4 linked regions of the Anolis sagrei genome follow. The protein of the gene in region 1 interacts with the protein of each later gene in a pairwise test. Links are inferred from orthologs where the notes say so. Each region holds a gene or a part of one and is shown on either strand. Other genes may lie near its edges.

Region 1 (7,421 bases):
TAAAGCACTCTCCAAAGTGCTCTTTCTTTTCTTTGTTGGAAGCCAGTGGATTGCAGAACAAAAAGAGAGAATTGTGTTCTGCCCTCTACACACAGTTCCAAGGTCTTATTTCTGAGTATTCTCCAGCCAACCCACTCACTTTCATGAGAAATAAGCAAGCAAGAGAGGTCAAAATGCCTGGCAAAGAATCAGAAGGCCTTCCTGTTTGCTCTCTTCTTGACCTGCTGAACCCTGAGGTTATGAGCTGGAAGCATTTGAGCCACATCTTTTATTCTGACAGCCGCAGAGTCATTTGCTCAAAAGATCACACCCAACCATTCAGAAATTATGAGAAAGAATGGCTTTAGTCATGTCTACAGCCCAATTACTTCTGAGTAGAGTTAGGCTGGTGATGTGGATTTTTTGTGTGTGTGTCAGGAGACTTGAGAAACTGCAAGTCACTTTTGGTGTGAGAGAATTGACCGTCTGCAAGGATGTTGCGAAGGGGACGCCCAGATATTTTGATGATTTACCCTTTTTATGGAAGGCTTCTCTCAAGTCCTCACATGGGGAGCTGGAGCTGAGAGAGGGAGCTCATCCACACTCTCCCCAGATTCGAACCTACAACCTGTCGGTCTTCAGTCCTGCCAGCATAAGGGTTTAAAACATTGGGCCACCGGGGGCTCCTATGGGGAATTTTTCCAATGTAAATGCTTCACTCTTGAAGAGGTATTACTGGATGGATGGATGGATGGATGGATGGATGGATAGATGGATAGATAGATAGATAGATAGATAGATAGATAAAACTGGGATACTCTTTGAAGCATTATCTTGTACTGTCTTCTCCCAATCACCACCAACAATCTCCATGCCAGCCTTGATATCTGGCTAAAAGCTGTTTCCACCTGCAAAACTCTAGGATTTGTTTTCACATTTGACAGCACTGAGGAGTCTGGTTTTACAAAAACACCAACAATTAAGTAAAATATTTTTAAATGAAAAGTTAAGTCAAGTTTCTCAGTAGAAACAGGGCTAAGAAAAACATGCGAATTCCAACTAATTCTAGCCTTAAATGTACCAAGAATCCTTCAGTATTAAAACTGAGTCCTCTCTTTTAAAGCCCTCTCTTTCAAATCCTTTTAATGTTGGGGTGTTTTCACATTGTTATGCAGTCTTGTGATTTCAATATTTGCCTGCAGTAAATTGGTTTTAGAACAATTCAGAGATGAGATATATATTGTCCTTTTCTCCTTCTCCTTCATATTTCCTCCCCATGAGCAACGGAATGATCAAGATAAAAGGCAGGAGTTTGTAACGTTTTCCCTAGTGTTAAAAGAAAGACAGTATATGTATATCCTCCCTCCTAATAAGGAACTCAAGACACCCATCTATTAATTAGACCCCGAGGAATTTAACTTAAGTGAAGTGACAATATTATGTGCTATCAAACCATATTCTAGGTTTTAGCCATGTATAGAAATAGTCCTTGTCTGGCAAGGAGCCATCATGGTTTAAGAGTTGGACTATGACACTTGAGACTATTGGGTTGTTGTAGGTTTTTCGGGCTGTATGGCCATGTTCTCGAAGCATTCCCTCCTAACGTTTCACCTGCATCTGTGGCAAGCATCCCTCAGACATTGAGGATGCCTCACAACCTCTGAGGATGCTTGCCACAGATGCTTTTAGCCTTAGGGGACATTATGACAGCTACTAAGTACCATACATATAATTAATACAAAAATACATTTTTACCCAAAAAATATTTGCAGAAAGAGGGAAATGGAAAACATGCACAGAAAGTGCTACTGTTATAAGTGAATGATACAACATCAGTTGCTTTATTCCACATCTACATAGTATTAGATCTTCATGTTAAAGGTCTAGGCGAATTTGCTCCTTCTTCCATTACTGAACATTCCTTGAAATAAGCTATACATTTCCTCAAAGTTGGACTTCTTGTATTGCTAATGCTGGTTGATAAGAGACAGATGATGAAGTTTGATCTCTAGCTATGATATATACCTGGCCTCTGTAACAAGATGCTTCAGGTTTTCCAGTAGTAATAAGATCTCAGGCTTCTCTGATGCCAGCAACCCTAGTAAGTTTTCTTTGATGTATCTGACAGGTTGTGCCTAGCAGTTATATCATATCATGACTTATCATGGCAGCACCATTTACAGTGCAGATGTACCCACAATCCCTTTAAGTCAGTGGTTCCCAACCTGTGGTCCATGGACCACCAGTGGTCCACAAGGAGTAAAATATGGTCCACGGCCTCACCATTACTACTATGGACAATAACACAGCTCAACCATTTTGTATCTTCATTTTTAGGCCTATTGCTGGGGTTATTTGGGGTGCCGATTCAGAAAAGTGCAAATCTAGATTATTAAATATGGTTTTCCGTGGGTGAGCATATGGCGGCTACTGGATGGCATATGTTCTGTATCAGAAACTAGAGCTGATGTGGTCTATTCAATGCATTTTTCTGAATCAGCACCCCAAATAACTAAACCAAATTTAAAGTTGACCAAAAACTGACTTGTAACGCTTTTGGTACTAATGTCGGAGAGTGGTTTCTGGTCAAAGTGCTCCTTGTTCAAGTGGTCCCTGGTCAAAAAAAGGTTGGGAACCAGGAGTATAAGTCAAAGTGTGCAACAGCTGAAGAAAGAATGTAATTGTTTTAATTACGAGTGCCATTCTTTGTTACAATGGCTATAAAGACTGCCTAGCATTTTTGTTGTTTATTCAAAAACAACAAAAGTCGATTCCGACTCCTCATGACCACATGGACCAGCCCACGCCAGAGCTCCCTGTCAGCTGTCACCACCCCCAGCTCCTTCAAGGTCAGTCCAGTCACTTCAAGGATACCATCCATCCATCTTGCCCTTGGTCGGCCCCTCTTCCTTTTTCCTTCCATATTCCCCAGCATCATTGTCTTCTTTAAGCTTTCCTGTCTTCTCATGATGTGGCCAAAGTACTTCATCTTGGCCTCTACTATCCTTCCCTCCAATGAGCAGTCAGGCTTTATTTCTTGAAGCTTCTTGCGGTCCGAGGCACTCTCTGAACTTTCCTCCAACACCACAGTTCAAAAGCCCTTTGGGGGAAGAAGGGTGGGGTAGAAATGCATGAAATAAATAAATAAAGCATCTATCTTCCTTCACTCAGCCTTCCCTATGGTCCAGCTCTCACATCTGTAGGTTACTATGGGGAATACCTTTGCTTTAACTATGTGGATCTTCATTGCCAGTGTGATGTCTCTACTCTTCACTATTTTATAGATTGGTCATCACTCTCCTCCGAAGAAGTAAGCGTCTCCTGATTTCCTGGCTGCAGTCTGCATCTGCAGTAATCTTTGCACCTAGAAATACAAAGTCTGTCACTGCCTTCATGTTTTCTCCTTCTATTTGCCAGTTATCAATCAGTTTGGCTGCCAAAATCTTGATTTTCTTTTGTTTAACTGCAACCCAGCTTTTGCACTTTCTTCTTTCACCTTGATTAGAAGGCTCCTCAGCTCCTCCTTGCTTTCGGCTATCAAAGTGGTATCATCTGCATATCTAAGGTTGTTAATGTTTCTTCCAGCAATTTTAACTCCAGCTTTGCATTCATCAAGCCCTGCACATCGCATGATGTGGCTTGCATTATGAAACATTTCAAAAACAGCTCTTTTCTTTCATGTTGCCAAGATATAGTCTGGGTTTTTTGTTTGTTTTTTTGTTTTGTTTTGTTTTGTTTTTTTGTTGTTTTTTGGTTGGTTTTTTTTAGCCTCTTCCAAGGGCTTCAACTGACACTTGTCCTCCAAGGGGGGGAAAGATAGTAAGGCCTCAATATGTTAAGGAAGGAGAGTAGGAAATAGTCTTCTTGCCCTTTAAAAATATGGCTGCCTTGTAGAGCGTTCTCCCTTGCCCTTAACAAAGAAGGCCGCTGAGAGGGGGGGCGTCGGCGAGTGGGAAGGCCGGGCAATGGCGAGCCGCGTTACTACGGGTTGCCGTGGCAACAGCCAACAGCGTGAGGGGATGGTTCCTGGTGGGCGGGGCGTGTGTGTGGGAGAGAAGCCGGGCAGGGCTGAGGCAGCTGGAGGGAGGGAAAAAGGCGGTGGCCGATGGGGGCAGAGCCGAGGGGTGTGAGGCTGGTGTCCGCCGCGGAGACGCTCCGAGCCCAGGTGAGAGGCGCGGGCGGGGTCGCAGGAGAGGCCTTGTAGTGTCGGCGAGAGGCCTAGGCCTGGGATGCCGGGCTTGCCAGGGCGGAGAGGAGACGGTGGGCGAGTGGGTGGACCACGGAGGGGAATGGCAGCAGCAGGCGCCAGTCTGGTGGGCCTGGCGAGGGTCACGCCACAGCAATGGCCCCTCGCTCACCTCACGCTTGATGGCAATGCCTCTGCAGGGAGAAAGGCAGGGATTTTCAGGTGGGTGGAGTGTCCACAGGCGCAGCAGCTGAGGAGGATGCTCTGCCTCGTCGCCACCATCGTGGAGCGAGGCAAATCAATTCAGTCTGCTATCCTTTGCCTGACAGTGCTTGTCCATCAGATAGAGAGCATCACTTTGGCAAGAAAGGTTGGGCCAGTCTTTTTTTTCTTTGTGCTATTCCTTCTGCATCTAGGCTATATCATTGTCTTGTGGGGTTCCACAGGGTTCAGTATTGTCTTCCATATTGTTTAACATCTACATGAAGCCGCTGGGGAAGATCATCCGGACTTTTGGGGTGCAATGTCACCTGTACACAGATGATGTCCAACTCTGTCACTCCTTCCCACCTGCTACTAAGGAGGCTGTTCAAGTCCTGAACCAATGCTTGGCTGCTGTGAAGATCTGGATGAAGGCAAACAAATTGAAACTGAATCCAGACAAGACAGAGGTCCTCCTGCTTAGTCATAAGGATGAACAGGGTATAGGGTTACAGCCTGTGTTGGATGGGGTTACACTCCCCCGAAGATGCAGGTTCGCAGCTTGGGTGTGATCCTGGACTCATCGCTGAGCCTGGAACCCCAGGTTTCAGTGGCGACCAGGGGAGCATTTGCTCAATTAAAACTTGTGCACCAGCTGCGCCCGTACCTTGGGAAGCCTGACTTGGCCACAGTAGTTCACGTTCTGGTTACATCCCGTAAAGACTACAGCAACACACTCTTTGTGGAGACTGTCCGGAAGCTTCAAAGGGTCCAACTAACAGCAGCCAGATTGCTAACAGGAGCAGCGCTCAGGGAGCGTACAACTCCTCTGTTACGCCAGCTCCACTGGCTGCCAGTTTGCTACCGGGCACAATTCAAAGTGCGGGCTTTAGCCTATAAAGCCCTAAACTGTTCTAGGCCAACTTACCTGTCTGAACATATCTCCCCTTGTGAACCATCTAGGACCTTAAGATCGTCTGAGGAGGCACTGCCTTCGTTACCGCCTTCGTCACAAATATGTTTGGCAGAGACGAGAGACAGGGCCTTCTCGGTGGTGGCCCCTCAGCTGAGGAACGCCCTCCCTATAGATATTAGATTGGCCACCTTCCTTTTAACATTCCGGAAAACAGTCAAGACGTGGCTTTTTGAACAAGCGTTTGCAAATGCAGAGAAACTGACACAGAAAAATGGAACAACTAAACCAGGGGTCCTCAAACTTTTTAAACAGAAGGCCAGGTCACAGTCCCTCAAACTGTTGGAGGGCCGGATTATAATTTGAAATTAAAATTGGAAAAAAAAACATGAGTGAATTCCTATGCACACTGCACATATCTTATTTGTAGTGCAAAAAACACTTAAAAATAATACTATAATTAAGATGAAAAACAATTTTAACAAATATAAGCTTATTAGTATTTCAGTGGGAAGTGTGGGCCTGCTTTTGGCTGATGAGATAGGATTGTTGTTGTTGTTGTGTTCTTTCAAGTCGTTTCAGACTTAGATTGACCCTGAGCGAGGGCCGGGTGAATAACCTTGGAGGGCCACATCCAGCCCTCGGGCCTTAGTTTGAGGACCCCTGGACTAGACAATTAGTCTGGACAATGTTTTTAACAAGGAGACACTATGAATTTATATTTTATTGATTTGTTTAGTTTTTATTATATGTTATGTTTTTAATTGTATTATAACATTGTAAGCATTGGATTTTGCGCTGTTAACTGCCTTGAGTCGCCTGTGTGCTGAGAAAGGCTGTATACAAATACAGTAAAATAAATACATATTTGGAGTGAAACAAATGGAAGGAAACCCTATTTTGATAGCTACACTAGACTCTCAGTTCACCAGCACCCATGGGGATTGGTAGGTGCTGGATCAATGTTATTTCTAGAGCAGGCCGGGCCAACTTGGGCCCTCCAGGTGTTTTGGACTTCAACTCCCACAAGTTGAAGTCCAGCCTGGAGGGCCCAAGTTGGCCCATGCCTGCCATAGCCTTGGTTTCCAACTTGGAGGAGGGGGGCAATTTGAGAATGAGTTATTCACAGTGAGTATTTTGCATTTCTTAAAGTTCTAGTGGCCTCATATACAGTATATAAATATATATTGTGACATACACATTTTAAAAATTAAAGTCAGAATGTACACGTATTTTGCATTTCTTATGGTTCTAGGGGCCTCATATATACAGAGGCGGCCCTAGGAAATTTTCTTCAGTAAGCAAATAGTAATTTGGTGCGCCCCCCCCCCCCCCCAACCAATCACTGATATATAGTTTCTGTTTGTCTTGGGAGTTCTGTGTGCCATATTTGGCTCAATTCCATCATTGGTGGAGTTCAGAATGCTCTTTGATTGTGGTGAACTATACATCCCAGTAACTACAACTCGCATATGTCAAGGTCTATTTTCCCCCAAGAGCGCCTCAAGAGCGCCCCAAGAGCGCCCCTGGGCAAAATCAACTATACTGCAAATGCTTACTTTGCGTAATGGGTTGAGCCGCCCCTGCATATACAGTATATAAACATGGCTTCAAACTACAAGAAAGGAGATTCTATCTGAACATTAGGAAGAACTTCCTGACTGTGAGAGCCGTTCAGCAGTGGAACTCTCTGCCCCGGAGTGTGGTGGAGGCTCCTTCTTTGGAAGCTTTCAAATAGAGGCTGGATGGCCATCTGTTAGGGGTGCTTTGAATGCAATTTTCCTGCTTCTTGGCAGGGGGTTGGACTGGATGGCCCATGAGGTCTCTTCCAACTCTATTATTCTATGAGGCCCTTAGAACTATGTGACATTCACATTTTATTTATTTAATCTAGTTGTATCTCGCCTTTCTCTACCCCCAAAAGAGGACTCAAGGCAGCTTTACATATGGCAACTATTAAGTGCCTTTGGACAAAATTCTAACTAAATTAGAATACGCTTAAGTTAAATAAAATTAAATGCACATTAAAACATTGTATTCACTAATAAAATCATGATCTGTCATGATCTGGTGTCGTTCCAAAGATGAGCACAGAAAAGGGAGGCAACTCTCTCTCTTTTTACATTGCAAGCTATACATAAC
Region 2 (7,593 bases), on another chromosome or scaffold:
CTACTGTTTCTTTTCTTCCTCGGACCTTTTAATGATTGAGAAATTCTCAGCATACAACATTCCTCACACATGCTGTAATCCTCTTTCCTTAAGCCAAAACGTGCCCTGGTCTTTCAGCAACAAAGATTTGCCTTCTGGGTCCTTTTATATCCTCACAAGTCAGGGAAAACCTTGTATAGGTTAAGCATCTCTTATCCGAAATGCTTGGGATTAGAGGTGTTTTGATTTGGGGGAACAGGATTTGAAATAACAATATTTACATATATTGTGCATAATAAGATATCTTGAAGATGAGGCCAGGTCTAAACACGCAATTCATTTATGTTTCACATACATCTTATAGACATAGCCTGAAGGTAATTTATACTCAACATGATGTTGGGCTTGAATAAAGTTGTGTACATTGAACCATCAGAAAGCTAAGGTTTCACTATCTCATCCACTCATGTGGAAAGCTTTGGATTTCAGAATATTTGAGCATTCCAGATAAAGGATGCTTAATCTCTAAAATCAGGGTAGAAACCTCTAAAATCTTATTTCAGAGCGAGAGTTATGTTCAACTATTGTACAAAAACACACCTGGGGCTGGACACCTGAGTTCAGATTTAGGGTGGTGGCGATTTGCCTTCAAATGGCCTATGACTTATGGTAACCCTATGAATGGGAGACCTCCAATATCCCCAGTGAGCAACAGCCCTGCTCAGATCTTGCAACCTCAGGCTCCATCTACACTGCTGTATGATGCAGTTTGAAACGGCATTTTAGATGGGGCCTGTTGACCATGGCTTCTTAAAATGAAGCAATTCACTTGCAGGCCTGTTTATATATTTTGCAGAATCAGTATCCCCAGTCAGCAACTGCCCAGCTCAGATCTTGCAATCTCAGTTTGAAACTGCAATTTAGATGGGGCCTTTTGACCATGGCTTCTTAAAATGAAGCAATTCACTTACAGGTCTGTTTATATATTTTGCAGAATCAATACATTTGATTTTGTTTCTCTAGTCATAACAGTGTTACAGCATAAGTGGCTTTGAAATCCAAAACTGAGTATGTTCAGAGAATGTTTATGTATCTATTGAGCCTGTAATTATTTATCTGAGAGTTGGCAAACAGTTTTATTCTTTGCTTTGATATATTTCTGTATCTAGCAATTGAGGTAATTAATGTACTTGTCCAAATCAAGGCGAGAGATGTGTGGGTGTGCATGTGTGTGTGTAAGACTATTAAGTGCAGAGCTTAAAATAGTGCATCTCGCACGATTTCCCTTGCACTGCAGCAAGAATGTCTATTTCTCTGTTTTAGAGAGAATCCCACCATTGGCAAAAACTCCAGTGGTTTCTTTAAAAGCTTTTGGTAAGGATAAGAGGGGAGAGCTGCCTTATTATAAAGAAGATATAATTTATTGTTTGACTTATTTTTTATTATTATTGATTGCTTGTAAAATGGAGTCAGACAGCCAGAAACCTAAGATTTAGAATGTTTGCTGATAAAGATTAGTAAGACAAATACAGTAGATTCTCTCAAGCAATTGGCAAAAAAATTGAAAAATTTTTTCAAAATTAAAATACATATATAATACAGTAAAACCGTGTTACATTATGTTTTACTTTCAATATTAATATCAAGTCAATACAAAATGTATAGTATGAGCTCCTGGTGGTGCAGCGGGTTAAATTACTGAGCTGCTGAACTTGCTGACTGAAAGGTTGGTGGTTCAAATCTGCAGAGCGGGGTGAACTCCACCTGTTAGCCCCAGCTTCTGCCAACCTAGCAGTTTGAAAACATGCAAATGTGGGTACATCAATGGGTACCGCTTCTGCGGGAAGGTAACAGCATTCCAAGTGGTCATGCCGGCCACATGACCTTGAAGGTGTCTATAGACAATGTCAGCTCTTCAGCTTAGAAATGGAGATGAGCACCACGCCTTAGAGTCAGACACAACTAGATTTACTGCCAAGGGGAAACATTTACCTTTACCTTTATGAGTTTGGCTTGTTTTGAATAGTAACTCGAGAGACCAAAAACTACATTTATCTGGTATCTACCTGGTTAACTGAGAATCTTGACCCATGTTAAACAAAGTTGTGGGTTGCTCTGAATTCTGCCTAGGATCCGGAGTGAGAGCTTTAACTTGACACCTCTGAACTTACATCTTGCTAGGCCTGCCTAGTTAAGAAAACACAGCAGAGATTCCCAACCCCAAAGAGCCCTTTGCTTTGAGATTGGCCAGTTCCTTAGGCTGGTCAACACAGGGTGCTGTTTGTGCTTATTGAAGCAACAGGAAACTGAGCAAAGTCCATGTCTTTTGACCAAGAGAAAGAAGTTTTGATTTCTAACTGGACAGACAGGTCATGTGCTGATGCTAACTGCTAGATATAAGGTGGACTATAAAATAATTGTTCTACAAGACCCCACTGTCCTTCTTTTACAAGATAGCTAGGCACCCACATGCCGCAGCAGCGCAGTGAGTTAAACTGCTAGCTGCAGGAAATCTGCTGACTGGAAGGTTGGCAGCAAAGCCTTAACAAAGCCTTAAGTTGGGGTGAGCTCCCGACTGCAGCCCTAGCTTCTGCCAACCTAGCAGTACAAAAGCATGCAATGTGAATAGATCAATAGGTACCGCCTTGGTGGGACGGTAAAAAGGCATCCCATGCAGATATGCAGACATCTTCTCCAAACTTTCCTGTCTTCTCATTATGTGGCCAAAGTATTTCATCTTTGCCTGTAATATCCTTCTTTCCAGTGAGCAGCCAGGCATTATTTCCTTGAGTATGGTCTGGTTTGATCATCCAGCGGTCCAAGGCAGTCTCAGAATTTTCCTCCAAGATTCCATTTTTCTTACTGGCTGTTAGGAATTGAGGGAGTTGAAGTCCAAAATACCCGGGAGGCCGAAGTTTGCCCATGCCTGTTTTATACAGTGCTTTCTAACTTTTACTCCAAGATATTCTGGACTTCAACCCCCAGAAGCCCCAGTCAGTCTGGCTGATAGTAGGAAACTCTGAGAGCTGAAGTCCTAACTACAGGGAGGAGCAAAACTGAAAAATAATATGAAATGTTTTAAGGTACCACCAGATTTGGTATATCCTCCTCCCCTGGGTGCATCCACATTGTACAATCAATGCAGTTTGAAATCTCTGTAACTCAGGCATGGGTAAAATTTGACCCCCCAGGTATTTTCTGTGTTGTAATGTAAAATAAAATAATATAAAGGAGTCCCGTTGGCGCAGTGGTTTAAAGCACTGAGCTGCTGAACTTGTTGACTGAAAGGTCGCAGGTTCGAATCTGGGGAGCGGCGTGAGCTCCCACTGTCAGCCCCAGCTTCTGCCACAATAGCCGTTTGAAAACATGCAAATGTGAGTAGATCAATAGGTACCGCTCCGGCGGAAGGTAAGGGCGCTCTATGCAGTCATGCTGGCCACATGACCTTGGAGGTGGCTACGGACAACGCCAGCTCTTTGGCTTAGAAATGGAGATGAACAACAAACCCCAGAGTCGGACACGACTGGACTTAATGTCAGGGGAAAGCCTTTACCTTTACCTTTACTAATGTAAAATAAATCACGTGTAGTTCACGTTTGATCAACCCACCCATTGCCTTGCCAGAGTTAGAAAATATGCCACGCAGGTGACCAATAAAGAACAAGTAGTTTACTCTTCTTAGTTCAGAACGACATATGTACAATGTGATCAGTTGTACTAACTCGCATAATTTCCTTTTATGGGAGGTTTAAAATAGTATTTCTATGTCCATTTGGATAAGCTCCTTTAGCAGCTCATGAAGTACACTCCAAACTTTCTGCTTCTCTTCAAGCCTGAACAAAAATGCAACAGTAACCAAAAGTCCCAGGCTCAGCCATCTCCCAGGGCATTGCCTGGCCACACACATTCATGCATCTTATTTTATTTGATGCACATACACACTCTCACTGATTCTTTGCATGCTCCTAACAGGCTGTTAGGAATGGTGGGAGCTGAACTCCAAAACACCTGGAGGGCCAAAGTTTGCCCATGCCTGCTGTAACTGCTATCGTTCAGTGCTATGGAACCATGGGAGATGTAATTTCACAAGGTCTGGACTAGCCCTCTCTGCCAAACTGCAACTCCCACGGTCTTATCCCATTGAGCCCTGGCAGTTAATGGGGTGTCAAACGGTATTAATGCTGCAGGAGAGGAGGGGGGGGGGGAAGAGTATGGCTGCAACAGGTGAAGAAGGAGGGGAGAGCCGGCCAAGCAGCTGGCGCGTCTGCCAGGCCCTTTGTTGAAAGGTCTCCTAGCAACGCTGCGGCCAATGGGGGCGCGGAGTCTCGGGGCGCGGAGGGGGGATTGGAAGGCGGGCGCTGCTGGGATCGGCGGTGCCGCGGGGCGCGCGCGTGCGTGAGTGTGCGCGCGCGTAGGAGGGAGGGAAGCAGGCAAGCAGAGAGGCAGCGGAGCTTTGGGCAGCAGAGGTTGGGGCGCCCCTCCTTTCCTCCCGCAGCAGGTGGGAGGCTGGGTGCCCTGTCCCCTCCCCCACCCGGCTTCCCAGGAGCAGGTCTGGACTTGATCTTGGCTATTCTGGGGCAAAAAGGGGAAAAGGGGAGGAGGAAGCACGTGGGAAATGGGAGGCATTGGCATGCGAGTCAGTGGGTGGTTGGGAGGGGGGCAAAGGAGGAGGAGGTGGACACTTCTGTAGAAGAGGGGGCATTGCATGGGGGTGAGATACCAGACAGTCAGGTGCGTTCTCACGTACACAGTCTGGGTCAGGAGTGTGCTGGTGTGTCTACACTGTAGAATGAATGCACTTTAGCTGTCAATGGCTTCATGCTATGGAAGCCTGGGAGGTGCACTTTGGTGAGGCACCTGCACTCTTTGGGCCCTTCCACACAGCCCTATATCCCAGAATATCAAAGCAAAAAATTCCACATTATCTGCTTTAAACTGGGTTATCTGAGTCCACATTCAGATAATGTGGGATTTCCAGCCTTGATATTCTGGGATATAGGACTGTGTGGAAGGGCCCTGCGTGCACACTCAGATAATGTGGGATTTCTGCTTTGATATTCTGGGATATAGGGCTGAGTGGAGGGCCCCTTAGGCGGGGAAATTTCACTACCTTGTAATTCCCCCCTCAGTCCCAAGGAGGACCCTGCATTGTAGAATCCATGCAGTTTGACAAAAGCAGCACTTCACACAAAACATAATGCATGGTTATGAAAGCTGAATATTTAGGAAGCGGTAAACAAAGAGGTGCATCTACACCAGGCACAGGCAGACTTTGGCCCTCCAGGTGTTTTGGACTTCAACTCCCACAATTCCTAACAGCCTACCTGGAGGGCCAAAGTCTGCCCATGTCTGATCTACACTGTAGAATTAATGCAGTTCGACACTACTGTGATTGCTCAACAGTGTGGAATCCTGGGAGTTGTAGTTAAGTGAGACACCAGCACTCCCATGATTCCATAGAAGTGAGCCATGGCAGTTCAATAGGGTGTCAAACTACACCCTATTGAACTGCCATGGATCACTTCTATGGAATCACGGGAGATGTAGTTCCACAAGATCCCTCTCCTTCTCTACCAAAATGTGTCGGTGTCTCACCCAACTACAACTCGCAGGATTCTATGCTGTTGAGCAATCAAAGTGGTGTCAAACAGCATTCATTCTACAGTGAAGATCAGACTTGGGCAAACTTCGGCCTTCCAGCTACTTCATCACACTAGAGAATGAATCCACTTTAAATCTATTTTCTGCCTCCTGTAGAATTCTGGGGTTTGTAGTTTAGGGAGGAGCCTTTAACAGCCTCACTAAACTACAAACCCCAAAATTCTGCAGCAGGCAGAAACCGGATTTAAAATGGATTCATTCTCTAGTGTGATGAAGTAGCCAGGTGAAGTAGCCACAAGTTGAGAACCACTGTGGTAGGCTGTTAGGAATTGTGGGTGTTGAAGTCCAAACACCTGGAGGGCCGAAGTTTGTCTATGCCTGGTGTAGATGCACCTCTGTGTTTGCTGACAGTGTGAGAGATCTTCCAAGGTGCATCTACATGCTATAGAATGAATGCAGCTTGACACCACTTTTATTGCTCAACAGTATGAGATCCTGCGAGTTGTAATTTGGCAAGGCAACAGCACTCTTTGGCAGAGAAGGCCAAAGACTTTGCAAAGCGCTGACTCCTGTGACTCTATTGCACAGAGCCCTGGCAGTTCAAGTGGTGTCAAACTGGATTGATGCTCCAGTGTCGATGCACCCCAAGTCACCTGGCTCAAGTCTTGCAAAACTTCTTGATCTTCCTTGTGCTGCATCTGCACACTGTAGAACGCACGCAGTGTGACACCACTTGAACTTCCATGTCTCAGTGCTATAGAATACTGGGAATTGGAGTTTGATACAAAGCACTTTTCAGCAGTGAAAGGCCTTGTAAACTACAATTCCCAGGTTTTGATAGTATTGAGCCATTGTAGTTGAAGTGGTGTCAAACTTCATTAAATGTAGAGTGCAGATATACCCTTGGTTTCCCAAAATCTTCATCTTTATCATCTTTTTGTTAATTGCTGTCAAGTCTGACTTACAGCAAACTTAAACCTATGCATTGTTTTGTTAACTGCCGTCACATAGACATATGAATGAGTGACCTCTAGGTTTTGCAAATTGCAGACTCCCTTGACGTTTCTTGCTTCCCCTGATTTTCAACTTTTGTAACAATCCATATGTTTATATTGAGGGGCAGAATGTGAAAGAGCTTCTCAAAAGGGAGGTTATAAATGCTAGAGAGGGTGGCAGGCATGGGAAGGATTGCAGGCCATTGATTGGGAGGTGAAAAAGGCATTCTAAAAACAGAGCTGTCTGCAAGCGTTAGGAACCTGCTGGTTGGTGGAGTGTGAAAAGGCACCGGGCGGACAGCAGTCTAGGCAATGTGCGGAAATAAAGCCCTGTGTTGCTTGCACATTTTACTTGCAGTCTGTTGCATTTATGAGTGTATATATAGTCAGCCCTCTATATCCATGGATTTTGTATCCACAGATTCAACTGTCCATGCCTTGTAAATATTCAGAAAATAATCCAGAAAGCAAAACTTTGATTTTGTGATTTAATTTAGAGCAGTGGTTCTTCACCTGTGGTCCGTGGACCACCAGTGGTCCACAAGAATTAAAATATGGTCCGCGGCTTTACTGTTACTACACCGTTGCAACAAGAGCGACTGGTCTTGCAAAACCCTCATATAGTGCTGAGCATTAACAAAATCCATGGATAATAACACAGCCCAACCAAAAACAATTTTTTTCTTCTTGTTTTCGTTTTTAGGTCAGTTCCTGGAGTTATTGGGGTGTTGATTCAGAAAATTGCATTGAATAGACCACATCCATTCTAGATTATTAAATACGGTTTTCTGTGGGTGAGCAGATGGTGAGTACTGGATGACATATGTTCTGCATCAAAAACTAGAGCTGATGTGGTCTATCCAGTGCAATTTTCTGAATCAGCACCCCCAATAACCAAACCAAATCTAAAGTTGAAGAAAAACTGATTCGTAACCCTTTTGGTACTAATGTTGGAGAGTGGTCCCTGGTCAAGTGGTCGCTGCTCAAGCGGTCCCTGGTCAAAAAAAGAAGGCTGGGG
Region 3 (7,816 bases), on another chromosome or scaffold:
TTTAAATAATAATAATAATGCCACTGTATTGTCGAAGGCTTTCATGGCTGGAATCACTAGGTTCTTGTGGGTTTTTTCGGGCTATAGAGCCATGTTCTAGAGGCATTCTCTTCTGACGTTTCGCCTGCGTCTATGGCAAGCATCCTCAGAGGTTGTGAGGTCTGTTGGAAGTAGGAAAAATGGATTTATATATCTGTGGAATGGCTGGGGTGGGGCAAGGAGCTCTTCCCTGCTACCGTATACCATGCAGCTGTGGACAAGTCTACATAGGGACCACCAAACGCAGCATTGCCCAGACACGCATCAAGGAACATGAAAGGCACTGCAGACTCCTTCAACCAGAGAAGTCAGCCATAGCAGAGCACCTGATGAACCAGCCTGGACACAGCATGTTATTTGAGAACACAGAAATGCTGGACCACACCAACAACCACCATGTCAGACTACACAGAGAAGCCATTGAAATCCACAAGAAGCAGGTGGACAATCTCAACAGAAAGGAAGAGACCATGAAAATGAACAAAATCTGGCTACCAGTATTAAAAAAACTCTAAAATTATAACAGCAAAACAACAGAGAGGAAAAAAACCAGGCACAGATTAACACCTCCCAGTAACAGATTTTCCCAGGCTCAGGCAGGCCTTCAAATGCTAATGAAGGTGATCAGCTAAACATTCACGCCTAACTGCAGCAGGGAAGAGCTCTTTGCCCCACCCCAGCCATTCCACAGATATATAAACCCATTTTTCCTACTTCCAACAGACCTCACAACCTCTGAGGATGCTTGCCATAGATGCAGGCAAAACGTCAGGAGAAATGCCTCTAGAACATGGCTCTATAGCCCGAAAAAACCCACAAGAACCTAATAATGCCACTTTCTCTCTCTTAAGTTTGCAAAGGGATGCTGGCACAAGTGGTCAGCATTGGAGCCACATGGCGTGCAGAGCCTCTGCGGTCCTGCCAACTTCTTACAAACTGCTATCATAAAGTGATACTTTGCAGAAGTTTTTCAACAGAGTTGGTACACATTGTACTTCTTGCACTTTCAGGGTCGCGTGGCTTTGTCGTTTCGCAGCCATTTTCTCTGGCTTATGCTTGCAAAGGCAGCCCTCCGCGAAAGCGCATGACCATAGCCTGTTATTGTTGTTGTTGTTGTTTTGTTCATTCGTTCAGTCGTCTCCGACTCTTCGTGACCTCATGGACCAGCCCACGCTAGAGCTCCCTGTCGGCCGTTACCACCCCCAGCTCCTTCAAGGATCTAGGGAAGTAATGCTACCCCTCTATTCTGTTTTGGTTAGACCACATCTGGAATACTGTGTCCAGTTCTGGGCACCACAATTCAAGAGAGATATTGACAAGCTGGAATGTGTCCAGAGGAGAGCGACTAAAATGATAAAAGGTCTGGAGAACAAGCCCTATGAGGAGCGGCTTAAGGAGCTGGGCATGTTTAGCCTGAAGAAGAGAAGGCTGAGAGGAGACATGATAGCCATGTATAAATATGTGAGAGGAAGCCACAGGGAGGAGGAGGGAGCAAGCTTGTTTTCTGCTGCCCTGGAGACTAGGACGCAAGGGAACAATGGCTTCAAACTACAAGAGAGGAGATTCCACCGGAACACGAGGAAGAACTTCCTGACTGTGAGAGCCGTTCAGCAGTGGAACTCTCTGCCCCGGAGTGTGGTGGAGGCTCCTTCTTTGGAGGCTTTTAAGCAGAGGCTGGATGGCCATCTGTCAGGGGTGATTTGAATGCAATATTCCTGCTTCTTGGCAGAATGGGGTTGGAATGGATGGCCCATGAGGTCCCTTCCAACTCTTTGATTCTATGATTCTATGATTCTAAGGTCAGTCCAGTCACTTCAAGGATGCCATCCATCCATCTTACCCTTGGTCGGCCCCTCTTCCTTTTGCCTTCCACTTTCCCCAGCATCATTCCCTTCTCCAGGCTTGGCTGTCTGCTCACGATGTGGCCAAAGGACTTCCACTTTGTCTCTCGTCTCCTTCCCTCCAATGAGCAGTCGGGCTTTCTTTCCTGAAGGATGGACTGGTTGGATCTTCTCGCAGTCCAAGGCACTCTCAGCACTTTCCTCCAACACCACAGTTCAAAAGCATCTCTCTTCCTTAGCTCAGCCTTCCCTAAGGTCCAGCTCCCACATCCGTAGGTGACTTACTACAGGGAAGACCATGGCTTTGACTAGGCAATGGATCTTGGTTGCCAGTCTGATGTCTCTACTCTTGACTATTTTATCGAGACTGGACATTGCTCTCCTCCCAAGAAGGAAGCGTCTTCTGATTTCCTGGCTACAGTCTGCATTTGCAGTCATCTTTGCACCTAGAAATACAAAGTCTGTCACGGCCTCCACGGTTTCTCCCTCTATTTTCCAGTTGTCAATCATTCCTCCAACACCACAGCTCAAAAGCATCGATCTTCCTTTGCTCAGCCTTCCCTCAGGTCCAGCTCTCACATCCGACCATAGCCTACGTTCCAGAAATCACATCCCTTTATCATATATGATTATTATTATCTTTATTTGTACCCCGCTAGCATCTCCTGAAGGACTTGGTGCGGCTTACACAGGCCAAGGCCTCAATAAAAACATAGCATAACAAAATACACAACTTAAAACAAATCAAAGCCATTAAAGCAATATCAAACAACAAAACAATAAAACAACACACCAAAACACAAGAAAACAGGGCCGGGCCAATGTAATGGGTACAGGATTAAAAGTGCTGATGTGACAGGTGGTATATTGGATTTTAGGGTAAGTGCAGTGTGCGGGCAATCTTAAACTCTACTAAAGTGCTTCTGGGACGTGTTACTGGAGTTTTCCTATTCTTGAAAGGCACATCAGAACAGCCAGGTCTTCAAGTTCTTCCTAAAGACTGCCAAGGTAGGGGCCTGTCTGATATCTTTAGTTCCAGAGTCGTGAGGCTACCACAGAAAAGGCCCTGTCTCGCATCCCCAGGGGCGGCTCATCCATTACGCAAAGTAAGCGGTCGCAGTACACTTTTTTTTGCCAGGGGCGCAGAGGCACCTCTGTAAATGCCCCTCGACCGCCACTTGAGGAGCGCCCCCTCGGCTCACAACAGCCCTAGCAGTCCGGGGGAAGCCTCAGCAACCTATTACACAAAGTAAGCATTTGCAGCATAGTCGATTGTGCTCAGGGGCACTCTTGAGGCGCTCTGGGGGAAAATAGACCTTGACATATGTGAGTTGTAGTTACTGGGATGTATAGTTCACCTACAATCAAAGAGCATTCTGAACTCCACCAGGTTCAAATCCGGGGAGAGCACAGATGAGCTCCCTCTATCAGCTCCAGCTCCTCGTGCGGGGACATGAGAGAAGCCTCCCACAAGGATGGTAAAAACATCAAAACATCCAGGCGTCCCCTGGACAACGTCCATGCAGACGGCCAATTCTCTCACAACAGAAGTGACTTGCAGTTACCCATGTCGCTCCTGACCCAACAAAAAAATATATATATCTGGGCCGAAAAGTATATATATTTTTAAGTGTAACTTCGTCCAAACATAATATAATATAATCCCATATATATATATATATATATATATATTCAAATGTAACTTCATCCAAATATTATATATGTGCGTGTGCGTGTGTGTGATTATATTATATTATGTTTGGATGAAGTTACACCTTAATAAATGTAACATCATCCAAATATATATATATATATATATATGGGATTATATTATGTTTGGATGAAGTTACAGCTATATATATATATATATTTATGGGGCCCAGATATATATATATATATATATATATATATATATATATATATATTCAAATGTTACTTCATCCAAATATTACACACACACACACACATATATGGGATTATATTATGTTTGGACAAAGTTACACTTATACACACACACACACAAACACACACACACATACATATACATACTTATGGGTCCCAAATATATATATATATATATATATATATATATTCAAATATATAATATATAATAAATATATAATAAATATAATGTAATGTTATATATATAATGGAATGGAATGTCATATATATATAATATACATATAATGGAATGGAATGTCATATGATATAATATATAATATAATATCATATAAAGTATAAATATAATGCAATGCACTGGAATGTAATATAATATGTAATATATAAAATAATGTCATTCAATGCACTCCAATGCAATATAATATATGCAATATATATTTCTACATATAATGCAGTGCAACAGAACCTATAATTCAATGCACTCCAATGCAATATAATATATGCAATATATATTTCTACATATAATGCAGTGCAACAGAACCTATAATTCAATGCACTCCAATGCAATATAATATATGCAATATATATTTCTACATATAATGCAATGCAATAGAAGCTAGCAGCATCTCTCTGGCTGCCTTCCTTTCTCTCTTTCTCTGCTGCCTTTGAAGCTTGGAGAGGGGAGGGAGCCTTGGAAGCGCCCGCCTTCGCAAAGGCAACGGGAGGAGCCCAGAGGAAGCGAGGGAGGGGAGGGGAGGGGCTGCTTCTCTCTCTCTCTCTCTTTCTTTCTCTCCTTCCCTCTTTCCCTGCCTTGTGTGCCGGGTCCCCTCCCTCCCTCCTTCCACGCCTGGTTTCCTCTCTCATTCTCTCTCTCTCTCTCTCTCTCTCTCTCTCTCAATTGGGTTCTCTGCAAGGCGCGCTCTCCTCTTTCTCCTCCTTCCTTCTCTCTCTCTCTTTTTCCTTCCTTCCTTCCTTCTTTCCCTCTTTCCCCCGTTGCCGCAGTGGCCCGGCCCTGCTTTCCTCGCCTCCGGAGCCTGGCTGGGCGAGGAGGAAGAGGAAGGAGGGGAAGAGGAAGAGGAAGGGGAGGAAGGGGCCATGGCGGCCACCGAGATCGCCCGGCAAGTGGTGAGTGCAAGGGGAAGGAAGGAGGGAAGGATGGGAAAGAGGGAAGGATGGATGCCCATTGTGTGCCCCCCACCCCACCCCGCTTGCCCGCCCCTCCAAAGGAAAGGATGCTGCTACTGCAGGAAGGGAGGAAAAGGAGGAGGAAGTCCCATTTGGGGGTTTGCAAAAGGATTGTGGGGAGGGATTGTGGAGAAGAAGGGCTTTGGGAAGGGATGGGCAAGGGAGGGAGGGAGGAGAGAAAGAAGGAGGAAGGGGAGAGAGGAAGGACAAGGAGAAGGGAAGGAAAAAAGAGGAGGAAGGAAGAGGAAAAAGAAAGGAAGAGGATAAAGGAAGACAAAAGGGAGGGAGGAAAGGTGGGAGGAAGAGGATAAGAGAAGGAAAAAAGGAGGGAGGGAGGCAGAAGAGGAGGAAGGAAGGAAGGAAGGAAGGAAGGAGAGAAACAAGAAGGAAGAGGAGAAAGGAAGAACAAGGAGAAAGGAAGGAAAAAAGAAGAAAGGAAGAGGAAATAGGAAGGAAAGAAGGGAGAGAGGGAGGAGAGAAAGAAAGAGGAAGGGAAGAAAAGAAGGGAGATAGGAAGGAAGGGAGGGAGGAGAGAAAGAAGGAGGGAGAAGGGAAGGGAAAAGAAGGAGGAAGGAAGAGGAAAAAGGAAGAAAAAAGGGAGGGAGGGAGGGAGGGAGGAAAGATGGGAGGAGGAGGATAAGAGAAGGAAGGAAAAGCGGAGGAAGGAAGGGGAGAAAGGAATTAAAAGGAGGGAGGGAGGAGGAAGAGATAGAAAGGAAGAAGAAAGGAAGGGATGAAGGAAGGATGTGAGAGAGAGAAAAGGAAGGGGGACAAAGAGGAAGGAAGGAAAAAAGGAGGGAGGGAGGCAGAAGAGGAGGAAGGAATGAAGGAAGGAGAGAAACAAGAAGGAAGAGGAGAAAGGAAGGAACAGGAAATAGGAAGGAAAGATGGGAGGAAGAGGAAAAGGGAGGGAGGGAGGAAGAGGGAAAAGGGAGGGAGGAAGGAAAGATGAGGGACAGAGGAGGGTGAAGATAGGAAGAAAAGCAGAGAGGGAGGAGGAAGGCATAGAAAGGAAGAAAAGAAGGAAGGGAGGAAGAGGAGAAATGAAGAAAGGAAGAAAAAAGGAGGAAGTGGAGGGAGGAATGAAGGAAGAGAAGAAAAAGAAGAGAGGAAGGAGATAAAAAGGAAGTAAGGAAGGGGAGGAAGGAAGGAAGAAAAGAAGGGAGAGAGGAAGCATGTGAGAAAAAAGAAGGGATGAAGAGGAAGGAAAGAATGAGAGAGGATGAAGGGAAGGAGGAAGCGGAGGAAGGAAGAAAAGGAGGGAGAGAGGAGTAATGGAAGGTGATAAAGAGGAAAGAAGGAAGGAAGGAGGAGGGGAGAAAGGAAGGAAGAATGGGAGAAAAAAGGAAGGAAGGAAGGAGAGAAAGAAGGAGGAATGTGAGGGAGGAAGGAGAGAAAGAAGGAGGAATGTGAGGAAGGAAGGAAGGAAGGAAAGAAAGAAATAAGGAGGAATGTGAGGAAGGAAGGAAGGAGAGAAAGAAGGAGGAATGTGAGGAAGGAAGGAAGGAAGGAATGAGAGAAAGAAGGAGGAATGTGAGGAAGGAAGAAAGGAGAGAAAGAAGGAGGAATGTGAGGAAGGAAGGAAGGAAGGAAGGAAGGAAGGAGAGAAAGAAGGAGGAATGTGAGGAAGGAAGGAAGGAAGGAAGAGAAAGAAGGAGGAAGGAAGGAAGGAGAGAAAGAAGGAGGAATGTGAGGAAGGAAGGAAGGAGAGAAAGAAGGAGGAATGTGAGGGAGGAAGGAGAGAAAGAAGGAGGAATGTGAGGAAGGAAGGAAGGAAAGAAAGAAATAAGGAGGAATGTGAGGAAGGAAGAAAGGAGAGAAAGAAGGAGGAATGTGAGGAAGGAAGGAAGGAGAGAAAGAAGGAGGAATGTGAGGAAGGAAGGAAGGAAGGAAGGAAGGAAGAGAAAGAAGGAGGAAGGAAGGAAGGAGAGAAAGAAGGAGGAATGTGAGGAAGGAAGGAAGGAGAGAAAGAAGGAGGAATGTGAGGGAAGAAGGAGAGAAAGAAGGAGGAATGTGAGGAAGGAAGGAAAGAAAGAAATAAGGAGGAATGTGAGGAAGGAAGGAAGGAGAGAAAGAAGGAGGAATGTGAGGAAGGAAGGAAGGAAGGAATGAGAGAAAGAAGGAGGAATGTGAGGAAGGAAGAAAGGAGAGAAAGAAGGAGGAATGTGAGGAAGGAAGGAAGGAGAGAAAGAAGGAGGAATGTGAGGAAGGAAGGAAGGAAGGAAGGAAGGAAGAAAAAGAAGGAGGAAGGAAGGAGAGAAAGAAGGAGGAATGTGAGGAAGGAAGGAAGGAGAGAAAGAAGGAGGAATGTGAGGAAGGAAGGAAGGAAGGAAGGAAGGAAGGAAGGAAGGAAGGAAGGAAGGAAGGGGTGCTTTTCAGGGGAGAGTCTTCCAAAGTCCAGGCCTGAGGTTGGAGGTGGGGCTTCTCACTGAAAACAAGGTTGATGAGGACAGCAAGCCCTCCATGGGTCCATCAAGCCACCAGGTGTCATATTGCAGACTGGGATGAACTGGGGCCAACCCAGAGGGTGAACTGGGGCCAACCAGGCCATGGCAAGCACCCCCTTGGTGTATTTGGGGCTCCATTGGTGTGGATTGAGGCCTGTTGTGTGCAAGGTGGTTGACCGCTCGTTTATTGGCATCTTCCTTTCAACGTAACCGTGGCACTTTCGGCACAACAATCGTGGATCAGTGCGCAGGGACTGTGCCCCCCCTCCCCATGAGCCCTATGAGGCCCATGCGCACCTGCGCTTTGTCAGGCATGGGTTTCCTGCTACGATGAGAGCAAGCGGCGCTCCGTACAGACAAGAGAAGGAGATTTCTCTTTGTGTTCCAAAGGACAGGCATTGGATA
Region 4 (7,610 bases), on another chromosome or scaffold:
ACTTCTCATGGTACGGTTGCAGCTGGCGCACAAGCTTTAACTGTGCAAAGGACCTCCCGGCCACTGCCGACACCTGAAAATCAACCATCAGCACTGAATCCAGGAGGATTCCCAAACTTCACTTCTTAATTAGTCGCTTTCTCCGAGCGACTTACAATTTAAAATAGCATTTACACAATATAAAAACATTCAACATAAAAACATACAACAGTGACTATTTGGCAAATTAGATCTGAACATTTTATTTAAATGTACAAACTGCCGACCTGTGTCCTCAGGGAGTGTTACCCCCTTCAAGAACAGGTAACCACCCAATACCGTGATGGGCCTCATGACAGGAGGACCTTAGTCTTCTCTGGATTAAGCTTCAACTTGTTAACCCTCTTCCAGTCCATCACAGCTGCCAGGCACTGTTTCAGGATCCAGGTGCCTTCCTTGGAATTTGGTGGAAAGGAGTAGTAGAATTGAGTGTCCTCTGCGTACAGATGGCATTGAACACCAAACCTCTGGATGACCTCACCCAGTGGTTTCATGTAGATATTTAAAAGCATGGGAGATAGAATATAACCTTGTGGGACCCCACAAGTCAATGGCCAGTTGTCTGAGCAGGTGTCCCCCAGCTTCACCAACTGGATGCAATCCTCCAAGAAGGTACGGAGCCACTGCAAAGTAATGCCCCCCAAGACCCTTTCCGGAGAGTTGCCCTAGAAGGATAACATGGTAAATGGTATCAAAAGCCACTGAGATGTCCAGGAGAATCATCAAGAGCACACTCCTCCTGGCTAGCTCTCTGTGGAGGTCATCCACCAAGGCGGCCAAAGCCGTCTCCGTACCATAGCCAGGCCTAAAACCGGACTGCGATGAATCAAGATAATCAGTATCACCCAAGAATTCCTGGAGCCGAGAAGCCGTCACTCACTCTAGAACTTTGCCCAGGAAGGGAAGATTAGAAATTATGGTATATACGCGTTACATGTTAACAACATTTGGAAATATTTATCCCTTTTGGGACATGTTCTAGCCACCTGTGTATATTATCTTTAGATCCACCATTTCATTGTATTCTTATCCACCCGAGGAAGAATTATTATTTTTGAGAACTTGATGTCCACTTCATTGTACTCTTCACATTTCTCCACCTGAGGAAGACGTTAGTCGAAACCGGTCTGGAAATCTTCTACATGGATATCCTCTTACAAGGGACTGGAAACTCCACTCAAGAGTATCTTTCTCTAAAGTAAGGGATCTTATGCCCTTAAGAGAAGTCTGCTTTACAGCAAGAAAGACTCTACTCTTGTTACTGATGTAAAATCACTGTGTACGAACCCACACGATCTCTTCGATCATCTGGAGAGGCCCTGCTCACACTCCCACCTCCTTCGCAGGCATGATTGGTAGGGACGAGGGAGAGGGCCTTCTCGGTGGTGGTCGTTCGACTCTGGAATTCACTCTTTAAGGACATTAGACATGCCCCAGCGCTGGCTGTGTTTAGGAGGAGCCTGAAAACATGGTTGTTCCAGTGTGCCTTCCAGAATAAGGAAAACTCTAAGCAATATGTCCTCAAATGCACTTTAATATTGATTTAGGATTGTCTGCGCGCCCTCAACTTTCTTTGAAAACCCTATCCTAGTTTACCCTACCTTGTTAATGCCCAGCATTTTAAATTTTAATTATTACATTTGACCCGGCCATAGGTTTTTAAATGCTGTATGTTATTGTTATTGTTTATTGTGTATTTTTTGTTTTTGAGTTTTATTTTAACTGTTTTGTATTGATTATTTGTTATTGCCTTTGTTTATTGATGTGCTGTGGGCTTTGCCTCATGTAAGCCACACTGAGTCCCTTGGGGAGATGGTAGCGGGGTACAAATAGTATTATTATTATTATTATTATTATTATATTATAAACAAGTTTTTTGTTCATGGTATATTGCTCAATGCTGCATCATATAAGTTGGTTATACATTTAATATTGTATTATATAAGCTGGAAAAAAACATTTTCCTTTGTGATTTATGTACTACGACTTGTAGAAGATTTGTGTTTGTTAAGATTAGAAATTAGCCAGTAGTTATTCAAAACCATGGATTCTAGGGACTTCTTCAACATAGGTCTCACTATTGCCTTTTTTAGGCATGGTGGTATTTTGGAAAATGGTAACAGTGCTCCAGGCAGTCATGCTGACCTTGGAGGGACAATGCTGCCTTTTCGGCTTAGAAATGGAGATGAGCACCAACCCCCAGAGTTGGACACAACACTGGGATTTACTTTCAAGACCAAAATCTATTATTTACAGTGGCAAGGGAAAATAGTGTCACAAACATATTACCTTACCCCTTCAAAGGGCTGGGCACAGAGTTTCAAATAATGACGGCTTGATGCTTTTCCCAGCGCACTGACTGCCCCAAGCCTGTCATTTGCAAGATGGCAAGGTCAGCTATTCTCAAAATGGCATACAGCTGAATCATCCAACAACAGCAGTGGAGTTAGTAAATAATAATTCATTAAACCGTTTGTAACTTTGTTGTGTAATTGTAAGAGGGTGAAATATACTTGCTTTGAAACACCCGGCATATTACTTTTACTTTTAAGCTTTTTTGGTATTTATATTTAAATTATTGTATGTTTACTTTTAAGCTTTTTTATCGTATTTCTATTTGAATTACTTCTAAGCTTTTTATTGTATTTATATTTACATTATAAAGCAAATAAAATAAATAAATAAATAAATAAATTATTATACCATGTTTATTATTGTATGCTTGAATTGATATGTTAATTGTTTAAACTGATATGTTTTGTTTATTATTATATGTGTAATGTGGCATTGTATGCCATGGATTGTAAGCCGCCCTGAGTCCCCTACTGAGGTGAGATGGGCGGGGTATAAATGTAGAATAATAATAATATCTGTATCTATTTCTGTATTAGGAGGAAAGCAGGGTAAGACTCACCCCTCAAGCGAGGCCACTATTTCAGGCAGTGTTATATGGCTTGGGCGGGACACAAACCTACAGAGACCGCAGGTGGGTCTGCTACACTGTAGCATTAATGCAGTTTGACACCACTTGAACGGCCATGGGCTCAATGCTACGGAACCCTGGGAGTTATGGTTGCACAAGGCCTTCACGCTTCTCTGCCAAAGAGTGCTGGTGCCTTTCCATAGCGTTCAAGTGATGTTAAACTGACTTAATTTTGCAGCGTAGACGCACCCGGCAGCAACGTCTTGCCCAGCGTTTCCCCTTCTGAAGGCGAGGGAACAGAAGCCCCGCTGGCTTACCGGGAGCCTCGTTGAAGCGGCGGAGCGGGGCCCTGGGGAAGGACATGCCGGGGCCAGGCCAGCCAGGTGGGGCCCGCGGAGCAGAGAGAACGGATTTCAAAAAGCCACACTGCCGCCTCCTTCTCTTAAGTGGGCCCAACCAACCAATCCGAAAGCTCAAGCGGCGGCACGCTCCGCAAATCAGAGGTTAGCCCTGGAGCATGCGCAATAGGGAACTGCGGAAGTGAGGCGGTACCCTCTTCTCCAGCTTGGCGTGAGGTTTCGGGGCGTGCCGTGTGTTGTTTTTGCCTAGAAGAGGGAGGGAGTAGGGTGCCGCCTTGAGGGGTGTCCAATCAACCTCCACCTGCTTAGAAATTAATTTTAACAAGAACCCTCATTTAACCCTTGCCACGCGTTGCTGTGGCCCAGTCTGTTGATATGGAAAATAAAGTAATGAGAAAGTGTTGGTTTCTAAAATATGTATTTTCTTTCTGCTTGTGGGTAAACAATATTTCTTGCTGTTTCTTTGTCAGTGTTGATGTGGAGATTGTCTGGTTTGCCTACTCTGGAATATGCAAATTGTCCTTCTTTAGGGGTCCCTTTCAAATCTATACAGTCTCTGTGTGTGTGAACCATATCTATCAATCTATCTCTCTATATCTATGGCTGTATGGCTCTTTGTCAGGAGGGCTTTGATTATGTTTTCTTTCCCTGGTGAAGGGAGTTGGACTGCATGGCCTTAAGTATTTTCTGTTGGTCATGGGGGTTCTGTGTGGAATGTTTGCCCCAAATCTGTGGGTTCAGAATGCTCTTTGATTGTGGGTGAACTATAAATCCCAGCAACTACAGCTCCCAAATGTCAATGTTATTTTCCCCAAACTCCGTCAGTGTTCACATTTGGGCATCTTGAGTATTCGTGCCAAGTTTGGTCTAGATTCATCATTGTTTGAGTCCACAGTGCTCTCTGGATATAGGTGAACTGCAACTCCGAAACTCAAGGTCCATGCCACCAAACCCTTCCAATGTTTTCTGTTGGTCATGGGAGTGTGCCGCGTTTAGTTCAATGCTATCGTTGGTGAAGTTTAGAAAGCTCTTTGATTGTAGCAGGCATGTAGAAGGGGGGGGGGGGGGGCTTGAGGGGCTTCAGCCTGAAATTCTCATGGTGGTTCACGAAAAGGCCTTACTGCTGCATTATTTAAACTGTTATGTTTATTCATATCATGATCTGATCACCATACTCAATATATCCCATATGCATGGAAGTATTGGGGTAATGATACAAAAGGTTTGCTAGGCTAGACCCTCTTTCACTCAGAATCACACCCCCCCCCCCTGAAACTCAGCCCCCCCCAACCCCCCCTGAAAAAAATCAGCCCCCCCCCCCAAACGAAATCCTGGCTATGGGCCTGGATTGTAGGTTAACTATAAATTGACAAAATCAATTTTTTAAGTGATGGTCACTCCTTGGGTGAGTAGGTGTCTTGTGGCTAAATTTCGCAGCACTTTGTCCAGTGTTTTTTGCATTATGTTAATCCCACAAACGAACATTACATTTTTATTTATATAAATATACTAGCTGTACTTGCCACGCGTTGTTGTGAACAATCTTCCCTCCCTCTTTCTCTCCTTTCTCTTTCTCTCCTTCCTTCCCTTTTTTTCTTTTTCTCTCTCCTTCCTTCCTTCTCTTCCTCTTCCCTTCTCCCTTTCTTCCTTCTCTACCTATTCTTGGACTGCAACTCCCAGCAGTCCTCTTGATCGATTGATCTATGTTATCTAATCTATCTATCTGGAGGATTGCCGGGAGTTTCATAGGAAATTGGAAATATGTAGGGATTGGGATACTCTCAAAGAGATCCAAGGAGAAGAAAGCTTGCATCTTGAAAGCAGTGCATTTGGATCATCCTCCTCTCCTAAAGGGCCTGGTCTAGGAGATGCTGGAAGCTCGGAGCAGTTGTCCAAAATAGAGTGTGGATATGCTATTGTTTTGTTTGCCAGGGGAGTCATTTTTGCATATTCACTGTAGTGTCTATTTGCTTTTTTGGCTTTTTAAGTCCCTTCCGCTGTGTTTTTCAGTATTTTTATGAGTGATGGTCACTAATTGGAATGATAGGCGTATTGTGTCCAAATTTGGTGTCAATTCATCCGGTGGTTTTTGCATTATGTCAATCCCACAAACTAACATTACATTTTTATTTATATAGATATATATATTTTCAAATGAGGGCTTGTGTTAAAATGTATGTCTAAGCAGGTCGAGTTTGCTTTGACACTCCTCAAGACACACACACACACACTGTTCGGAAGCTTCAAATGGCCAAAGACTGGCAGCCAAGTTACTAACAGGAGCGGTGCCCAGGGAACACACTACTCCTCTGTTGTGTCAGCTCCACTGTATAGTTTATAATTCACGTTACAATGTAATATTACCTTTAGCCACTAGGGCTGGGCAACCACGGAAAAATTTGTTTCTAAACTCGATTCGTTTTTAGGGGGTTTTTGCGTTTCGATTTTTAAATTAATTCCGAAATTTTCCTTAATTTTTTTTTTATATTTATGAAATTTCGTAAATTACGAAATAATTACGAAACGATTTTGAAACGAATACGAATCGATTCGTTAATGGCGGACGCGACTGCGCAATACGCTAAAAAACCTCCATATGGGACAGGGGGAACTTTTGAAGCTTTCCTCTCCCTCTGTTGTTGACTGTTGGTGTGATATTTATAATTTTTTTCCACTGATTAAACAAACAACAGCTATAAAACTTGCCCCAGACATGTGGAAATAATAACGAAACAATTTCGAAAAGATTTCGAAACGAATACGAAACGAATACGAAGCAATTACGAAACGAATTGAAAAATTCGTTTCGTTTTTTAGATGCTCCTGAATGGTTCAAAATCGCTTCGTTATAAAAAAACGAATTTTTAACGAATTACGAAATTACAAAACGAAACCGCCCAGCCCTATTAGCCACTGTCTATGTCTCCTTAGGATCCACCCCTCCAGAAGACTGTTGGTGAATTTCTCACCTCAAAAGCTGAGCTTTTTGTGATAATTTGAGTAAGTGGAGTGTCTGTATATATTCTTACAAACTTGATATAACAAATTGTTCAATTGTATGTGTGTATTCATGATATGTGTTGTTTGTAGACCCAACCGCCTGACGAAGGCTCTTGTGAGTCAATACCGGTCGCAGGTTGGAGTCGATTCATGTGACTTCTGGAGTCTACTCATATGTAATAAAAAACAGGACATTTACTCACACAAAGACTTTGTTTTATACTTCAAGAGAAGAACCAGTTGTTTCTACTTAATGTGAATGTGACAGCGAATTGTGCCATTCTGTAACCCGCCTTAAGTTGCCATATGGCTGAGAAAGACGGGCTATAAATACTGTAAATAAATAAATAAATAAATATTCATTCAATGGGTTCATGACTGACACCTCTGTTTTGGGGGTGGATCTACAGTACAGGATTAAATGTAGTGTGACACCACTAAAGTGTCACTCTAACTACCATGGCTCAACCACATGGAGTCCCCGGATTTGGAATTTTGCAAGGCACTCCGTGCCAGAGAAGGCTAAAGACCTTGTAAAACCAACCAGAACCCAACTGGCAACCAACACCCAGAGGACCTTTTATCAGCCACCCCAAGGCGAAGTGCAAAGTGTTTGGTTTTGACCTTTAAAGCCCTACATGGTTTTGGTCCAGGTTATTAAAGGATTGCCTTCTCACATGCAACCCACCCCACACACTTTAGTCTTCTGGGGGGCATCTGCTTCAGCCTGCCAGGACCCGACTGGCAACCACCACTCAGAGAACTTTTTCATCAGCCGCACCAAAGACTATGGACAACCTGCAGCTAGAGCTCTGACAGCTAGATCGGCTGTCAGAATTTAAAAACCATGTAGACCTATCTCTTCAGGCAGGCCTACACAGACAGTCTTTAAGCATGACTTTTAAGTGTCCTATTTGATCTGCTTTGTGTATTTTAATATGTATTTTGTACAGATAAGTTTTGGTGTGTAGCTTTTATGGAGGTACATTTAGTGTGTGTATTTTGTAGTGTATTTTGTAGAGAGGGCGGTAAGAAATAAAATTATTATTATTATTATTATCATTATTAAAACTACAGCTCCCATATGGCTATAGTATTGAGCCATGGCAGTTAAAAGTGGTGGGTCAAACATTAGTTTTACACTGCAGGACTAAGATAAGGCAACGGGAAAACCCATTTGGCTAAATTTTGATAAGGAACTCCCCTTATAGGGTTGCCATAAGTTGGAAATGATTTCAAGGCACACCATAAAAATGCAATAATACATTTTAAATGTCCTATTTGTTCCA

Evidence for each region.
Region 2: the proteins of MORN4 (region 1) and SSX2IP interact in binary tests that used the Homo sapiens proteins (3 or more experiments, as listed by UniProt). The two-hybrid records come from large-scale screens. The link is inferred for Anolis sagrei from reciprocal best matches to the Homo sapiens genes MORN4 and SSX2IP.
Region 3: the proteins of MORN4 (region 1) and SEPTIN6 interact in binary tests that used the Homo sapiens proteins (3 or more experiments, as listed by UniProt). The two-hybrid records come from large-scale screens. The link is inferred for Anolis sagrei from reciprocal best matches to the Homo sapiens genes MORN4 and SEPTIN6.
Region 4: the proteins of MORN4 (region 1) and HMMR interact in binary tests that used the Homo sapiens proteins (3 or more experiments, as listed by UniProt). The two-hybrid records come from large-scale screens. The link is inferred for Anolis sagrei from reciprocal best matches to the Homo sapiens genes MORN4 and HMMR.

The regions. Positions count from the first base shown.
Region 1 is NC_090023.1:217,915,724-217,923,144, reverse strand, and holds the start of MORN4 (MORN repeat-containing protein 4), read left to right. Parts: upstream 1-4,012; 5' UTR 4,013-4,144; intron 4,145-7,421. UniProt on the Homo sapiens protein: Plays a role in promoting axonal degeneration following neuronal injury by toxic insult or trauma.
Region 2 is NC_090024.1:154,979,252-154,986,844, forward strand, and holds the start of SSX2IP (afadin- and alpha-actinin-binding protein), read left to right. Parts: upstream 1-4,363; 5' UTR 4,364-4,528; intron 4,529-7,593. UniProt on the Homo sapiens protein: Belongs to an adhesion system, which plays a role in the organization of homotypic, interneuronal and heterotypic cell-cell adherens junctions (AJs).
Region 3 is NC_090030.1:3,163,704-3,171,519, reverse strand, and holds the start of SEPTIN6 (septin-6), read left to right. Parts: upstream 1-4,532; 5' UTR 4,533-4,874; coding exon 4,875-4,904; intron 4,905-7,816. UniProt on the Homo sapiens protein: Filament-forming cytoskeletal GTPase. Required for normal organization of the actin cytoskeleton. Involved in cytokinesis. May play a role in HCV RNA replication.
Region 4 is NC_090022.1:109,445,284-109,452,893, forward strand, and holds the start of HMMR (hyaluronan mediated motility receptor), read right to left. Parts: upstream 3,418-7,610; 5' UTR 3,326-3,417; coding exon 3,280-3,325; intron 1,069-3,279; exon of another isoform or gene 1,054-1,068; coding exon of another isoform or gene 1,026-1,053; intron 1-1,025. UniProt on the Homo sapiens protein: Receptor for hyaluronic acid (HA). Involved in cell motility. When hyaluronan binds to HMMR, the phosphorylation of a number of proteins, including PTK2/FAK1 occurs.